Linked DNA regions of Drosophila melanogaster. The main gene of each other region encodes a partner of the protein of the gene in region 2 in a complex. Each region holds a gene or a part of one and is shown on either strand. Other genes may lie near its edges.

Region 1 (3,372 bases), on a different chromosome or scaffold from region 2:
GCTCTCAGAGAACCACTTCGAGAACAGGCTGTGGCTGTTTATCTCCACCAGGTGCGTGTAAGCATAGCTGCCTTGGGTACGGATAGACAACTTCTGGGCCAGGGCCTTGCAAAGGCTCGTCTTTCCTGTTCCAGGTGGTCCGTGGAGCAGTATCAGTCGGTTACAGGCAATCACATTCGTGTCCACACGGTGTTCAGAGAACATCAGTGCCGAAAGAGCAAACTTTAGAAGCTGGAAAAAAATGATTTCCTTTATAAAACCATAAATAAAAACTATGCATACTCCCCGTCTCACCTTTTCCTTGAGTCCTGTCTCGTAGATGAGGTTCTCCCACAGACCCACAAACTGAGCGGCTGGCAGGAGCGCATGACTGGCCGCCACGATGCTATCGATGCCATCCGAGCCTTCTTCGCCCGAAAACAGACCAAGTTGCCCTTCCTCTGGCCTAGTGGCATAGAAATGGAAGCGAAATTTGGTCTCGGCGACCTTTAGAGGCTGCACACCGCCATTGTCGCGCTCCAGGAGAACAGAGTGCACATGTTCAGTTTGCTCAGCTGTGAGATCCGGCAGGAATGACACATTTCTGGGCAATTTTCTAGCCGTCTGAAAATAGGCCTTTAGGGCTGTCTCCACATTGTTGCGAATTGCATTAGAGCGACTGAAAAAATGGATAATTAACTGAAAATCCCAACTGAGGACGGATGCTACTCACAGATCGTTACCTCGCAGGCAAACTTCCACATGAACTGTGTCGCTGTTGCTTAAAAAACTCATTTTAATGCAGGAGAAGCTTTGAAAAGCCGCGGGAACAAAGAAATTATAAAAAGCGACGCCGGCGTAGAGTGACCAAACTTCTCAAGGAAAAAATACGGCGCAAAAAAATAATTGCAAGTAGTAATATTAAAATTAAGAGTATTTTTTATATATCTAAAAAGGCGGTAGTTCAATAGGAAAATAAAATAAATATGCATTTCGTTCCAAGATAATTTAAAAGCAAACATAACCACAATCATATTTTCTATTAACAACATTTATTGTATTTAACACTAGTATTTAATTGTGGACTCCAGGAAGTACTTGTTGAACTTGCGCCAGCCGAAGCGCTTCTTGGGATCTCTTTTACTCCACTCGGGCGCCAGATTTGGCATCAGTCCCGCCTTCTGAGCCATGGTTACCAGAGTGCCCATCTTCTTTTGTTGCCGGTGGCAAAGTCCGGTGATCCTTCTGGGCAGCATACAGCCGTCGGAACGGACATACTGCGACAGGATTAGCACATCCGTGTGCTTGATGTCCAGGCCCAAGGTGCATTCCGGGCAAAACTTGGTCTGGCAGGCGGATTTAAGCATCAGGTGAGCACGCGGCGATTCCACATTAACGCCCTCGAAGATCTTTACACTGTTCTCCTGCTTCTCATGAACTGGAACAGGCATTGAACAGAAATTCGAATTAATTTTAAAGATGTGCATTTATTTGAGGGGTTATGAAACACTTCACAGAGGTCTCTGTAACTCACTCTCTTTTATTTGCCTTGGCATTGTGGTGGCTACGCCACGCACCTGAGCAATGGTACTTCGTACTGTCCTGGTGGCCAATTGCAACACAAAGGACATGTTGAAGGCGTTTTTTATTTACAATTTATTAAAATTGTGCTCAAGTGTAATGTTGTTACTACAAATGTCATTCACCACGAAAGCCGCAGCGTTGCCACATCAATTGATTTAAATATTACTTCTCAAAAAAAATTATCGATGTCAGTATTTAAATAACGATATCTGTTTTTATTTTTATTGCAAGCACAAATTTGTCATTCGAGAATTTTTCATGTAAATACGTAAAAAAAATAGAGAAAAATGCCTGCCTAACGAATAAAACTTTGTTTAGTCGTTACATACTGGAATATCCCTTGTATTATCAAATATCAGTTTCGATAGTTCGATAATTCACTACACGTATAAGAAAGACGCCGGCTGGAAGAAAAAGTAATATGTGTAAGCAAATGCAAGGAAATTACGGCCAACAAAAACTAAACTCTGAACCTTTGCAGCCGCTTCAGTGAGCAGTAAGAGCACCGTGGTATCCTCCATCATCTCGGGCCTCCTGAGCATTGTTTTGTTCGGCACACTGCGTTTCTGCTCAGAATGGTTTAACGACTCGCAGCTGAGGGTCCTTTTGGGCGGATACCTCTTCTCCTGGGTGTTCATCCTGAGCCTCACGTGCGTCTCCAACGCGGAGATGGTTGTTTTCGGCCAGGACTTCCAGGCCAAGCTGCTACCAGAGATTATTTTCTGTCTCTCACTCACGGTGGCCGCCGCGGGACTCGTGCATCGTGTCTGCGCCACCACCAGTGTTCTCTTTTCCCTGGTGGGGCTCTACTTCCTTAACAGGATCTCCACGAAGTATTACTCCGTTCAGGTGCCCAGCGTGGATGCTCCTACGACGAGAAAGGGCGGAAAGAAGTTCAAATGAACCATTCGTCTGCTTCTTATTTCATTACTAACACATTCGAATACCTAATCTTTAATAACCTTTAATAAATAACTAACTTATAAAGTCATGTCAATCGGTCACTTTGAAGCTATCCAAGCTCCATTATTACAGTTGGCCAGCCTTATACTACTGAGTATTGGTGCTGTGGAATAGGGGATCTTATTGGGAATTCATGAATTCAGTTAAAAAACTCCAATCTCTGGTTATATGGATATCGTAATCCTTTTCCAACAGAATCAAAACCTCGAACGCAAAGTCGTTTTCACAGCGTCTCTATTGCATGCCTTCTCGCAGAAAATGTATAGCTCCACTTTTTGGTTGCTTTTCAAAGCTGCTTCCAGTTGTTATAAAGTGAATTCGAACAAATAGATCAATCTGAAAAGTCGGTTTAGTTTGCTTTAAACATTTTGGATTTGTTTTGTCAACAAAAATTGCCGGCAAAGTGTGACCAGCTTGCGTTTTACGCGTTTAGTATATTTTAGTAATGAAATACTGCATATAATGGTTGCCTGCTGGTCAACGCTTTCGAGTATATTTTCAATAAAAACTTTTGAAATAAACTCAGCTGTATTTAACAATAACTGTTTAAAAACGATTGCATCATGCATTTGTAATTATACAGGGTGATGTCTTATTATTATCAAAGAAACTTTTAGATATTTATAGCTCTTTTCTGATAGTCTATTCGAGCGCTCTGGCAACACCCCACCTAGGCGCGCCTACAGACGTTACTGGCAACGCCAAATGAATAGCGTCGCGTCTTTTTTGTAGTTTAAAATTTTGTGGAGTTTTAGCGAAATAAGTTAAGTTTATTGTTGTCGTGTATGTAACTTCGTGAAGAATCCTTTTTTCAAGTTTCAATTGCAAATATGTAAGTTGCCACCG
Region 2 (3,428 bases):
AGCTGCACGTCCGGGGCATACTGCGCGTAGCTGATGGTGGACACCAAGAGATTGGCCAGCTCCGCCAAGGCGCTGTCGCTCAGCGATCGCACGGAGCACTTTTTCGACATGTCTCTGTTATGGTTTCGGCCCAGAGGTAAACAAAATACGACGCAGAAGCCGCTGGGAGATGAGCGCACTAGAGGAATTGTTTTGCTCGTGGTTACATCACTTGGTAGCAGGCGCAATGCTGGTTGTTTTCCTGCTCCCTTAGAGTATTTCTAACGTTCCTCGGTAACTATTTGCCCAATATCAGCTAATGGCGCACTTCTACACATGCGTGTACCTTATATTTAGGGGTAAAAATAGATTCTAAAATTATATAGGCGAAGGAATCGGTTTCTGCCGACGAACTAGTGAACTGCTCGATCCAACAGCACGATGCAAACTGAGAGCCATGGGACGCCAAAATGTTTGGTTTCCTCGGTTCCACATTCTCAATTCGGCGAGCCACTTGAGCGACCAAAAAAAAACAATGCTTAACTCGTTTCATTGTTATTTTGAGTCGCTTTACAATTGCATTATTTATTCGACAGCATCGGAATAGAGACATTCTATAGTTTACTTAACTGATTCGGATGAAAGCCAGCCAGTTATTCTGCTGTTTAAACAATATTACAACTATTACACAAAATTTTAAAACGAAATCAAAGTTTTTGTTTGGTATTCCGCAGCTTTAAGCCTTTTAAACTAGAATTTCTGGCGAATGCAGTTCGGTTTACAGATATTCGAATGTGGGAGAGTACTAAGAGAGCGTTTTTCAGTAGAGATTCTAGGGCTGCAGGTAGCTGGGCAGCTTCATGCGCATGAACAGCCAGGTGGTGAAGAAGGAGACCAGGATGAAAATGAATCCCATGGCGGTCAGCAGCAGGCGGTTGAGGTTCGTCTTGCCCGGCGTGTGCGTTTGGTCCATGATAATGAATCCCAGTCCGCCGACGGTGAACAGGAAGCTGCTGGCCAGGCCCTCCATGATGTACTGCCCATTCACACGGTAGGGCATAAAGGCCACTGGACGCGAGTGTCCGTGCTCATCCACCGTGGCTCCCAGACTGGGCGGCTCCACAATCACGTCATATATGATACCTGCGGGCCAATTTGCATCTCTGTTTAACCAATCTCAATTATAGAAAGCTTAGGACTCACCGCCTGTCACCAGAAAATAGGAAAACAAAATCACACTGAAAACGGCCATCGGTGACGGCATTGGAATGCTGAATCTGCGCACCTTGATGTTCGGCGGCACCAGGATGTGGAAGGGCAGGTTATACAGTGTCTCGATCATGATGAACTAATAATTTAATAACTATAAATTTAAATATATCACGGATTTTTCAATTTTCGTGGCGGTGTCGCTGAATTTTGCCGGCGTAGGCGGAGTTTGTTGTTATCTATCGAATAGGGATGGACACTTGTACGATACTCCCCCTGCATTGGTGTATTTCCACTAGACAGCATCTATGCTTGCAGCTGCATCGTAAGCCATGTCATTGTACTGTTAATGTCTTAAGTTTTAAACTGCCTAATCGATTTGAATTTTTTTATAAGACTCAAAATATATTATATGTAACATCAAACGATTGGCTTATTGATACTAATGTGCTTCAGCTGCGCAGCGTGAACAGCCTTTATATTTGGTCATACTTAGTGATGTCACTATTGCGCTCGCGTAGAAAAAGAGGAAGATGCCCCCAAAATAACAAACAAAACGTAACTCCCGATCAAAATAGCTTTAAATTGAAGTTAAATAACGAAACAACTATAATGGCGAGTGGCATTAACCAAGCAGCAGGTGGGCTGAGTGAATTTCTGAAGATTCGTAGCTTAGTTAACCACTCCATTTGCAGGTAAACTGCCGGCAATTGCGAAGAAGGTGCAAAATCTCGGCGATATGGGCGTTTGGCAAAAATCCCGCGCCTTCCACGATTTAATTGGATATATAAATGGCACCAGTTCGGCCATTCAGGGCATTAAAACCACAGACGAGATTTTCGAGTCGGAAATGCTCAAGAAGCTGCTGCGGCTATTCGATGCACTGGAGAAATTGGTAGAGCAAAATCCTCCATTGGAGCAGCCGCAGCGGTTCGGAAACAAAGCCTACAGGGATTGGGCGCAGGCAATGCGGGAATTGTTGCCCGAACTCCTAGAACAGCTGTTGCCAGACGACAAGAAGCGATACCAGGTGGAGCTGGGGCAGTATCTCACTGAATCTTTCGGCAATGCCACCAGGATCGACTACGGCACCGGCCACGAGCTGTCCTTCCTCTTCTTCCTGTGCTCCCTGTTCAAGGCGGAGATCCTGCAGGAAAGGGACATCGTGAGTGCTGCGCTGAGACTCTTCAATCGGTACCTTGAGCTCGCCAGGCAGCTGCAGCGAACATACAACATGGAACCCGCTGGGAGCCAAGGAGTCTGGTCGCTGGACGATTTCCAGTTCGTGCCCTTCATCTGGGGCAGTGCACAGCTGGCGGGTAAACAATTAAGAAGGATTCCTCCAAGATTTCCTTTCTGAAACGATTCCTTTCAGTTAAGAGTCCCTTTGATCCCTCGAAGTTCGTGGACGAGGCGATAATCACCGAGTACAAGGATCACTTCATGTTCATCAGTTGCATCGACTACATCTGCAAGGTCAAGACTGGACACTTTGGCGAGCACTCTAACCAGCTGTGGAGCATCACGGATGTGCCAACATGGGCCAAGATCAACGCGGGACTAGTTAAGATGTACCAAAAGGAGGTAATCTTTAGTCAGTAATATGACTAATATAAAGTAGCTTTAATTGAATACCTAGTACTCAGAAACTACTATAAACTATCCACAGATTCTCTCCAAGTTTCCCGTGATCCAGCACGTCTACTTCGGAGAACTGATGACATTCGAGCCCGTCTCCTCTGGCACAACTCTGTCCAACGCACGACTGGGTCATGTGGCTCCGCCGCCATCCAAACGCATCTGCATCGGGACTCCAAACTTGGTGCCACCAGTTCCTGTTGCCACTGCTCCTCCTCCGCCCGCCGAATCTCTTAGCATCGAACAGAATGTGGGCGACTCGAGCAGTGAGAGCAGCGACAACAGCGTGGTACTACGTCCATCCACATCGTCGTCTTCTCTGGTGGCGGCCGCCGAGGGATCTGGGGATAAGCCCAGCAAGGAATAGACTACAGAATGGAGGAAAATGGCGATGGTGTAACCTGTGTTAAAAATTCTTATTAATAGCGTTGGCCAATGGTCCAGTAAAAACTGTTTACACAAGTACAATCGCAATTTGTGTTCCTGGGTCTTAAAGTTTCCGCTTTCAAATGGGTACATGAAGCACTTTCCCGGCGAATGTGTTTCACAACATTTAATCCGAGTTTAATGGAAACAAATGTTCTTTCCCATTTACACAAGAA

What was found.
Region 1: CG9662 (region 2) and CG31460 share a complex: the UniProt entries of both Drosophila melanogaster proteins name them as parts of the oligosaccharyltransferase (OST) complex.

Annotation. Positions count from the first base shown.
Region 1 is NT_033777.3:8,560,899-8,564,270, forward strand, and holds CG31460 (uncharacterized protein), read left to right. Parts: upstream 1-1,774; 5' UTR 1,775-1,984; coding exon 1,985-1,988; intron 1,989-2,036; exon of another isoform or gene 2,037-2,044; coding exon 2,045-2,466; 3' UTR 2,467-2,547; downstream 2,548-3,372. Other genes in the region: pch2 (pachytene checkpoint 2), read right to left, coding at 1-231, 295-658, 713-774; mRpS18A (mitochondrial ribosomal protein S18A), read right to left, coding at 1,047-1,417, 1,514-1,610; Cenp-C (centromeric protein-C), read left to right, coding at 3,357-3,358. UniProt on the Drosophila melanogaster protein: Subunit of the oligosaccharyl transferase (OST) complex that catalyzes the initial transfer of a defined glycan (Glc(3)Man(9)GlcNAc(2) in eukaryotes) from the lipid carrier dolichol-pyrophosphate to an asparagine residue within an Asn-X-Ser/Thr consensus motif in nascent polypeptide chains, the first step in protein N-glycosylation.
Region 2 is NT_033779.5:3,375,299-3,378,726, forward strand, and holds CG9662 (uncharacterized protein), read right to left. Parts: upstream 1,440-3,428; 5' UTR 1,322-1,439; coding exon 1,183-1,321; intron 1,123-1,182; coding exon 812-1,122; 3' UTR 534-811; downstream 1-533. Other genes in the region: CG15412 (uncharacterized protein), read right to left, coding at 1-110; Ptpa (phosphotyrosyl phosphatase activator), read left to right, coding at 1,801-1,828, 1,884-2,507, 2,564-2,772, 2,858-3,193. UniProt on the Drosophila melanogaster protein: Subunit of the oligosaccharyl transferase (OST) complex that catalyzes the initial transfer of a defined glycan (Glc(3)Man(9)GlcNAc(2) in eukaryotes) from the lipid carrier dolichol-pyrophosphate to an asparagine residue within an Asn-X-Ser/Thr consensus motif in nascent polypeptide chains, the first step in protein N-glycosylation.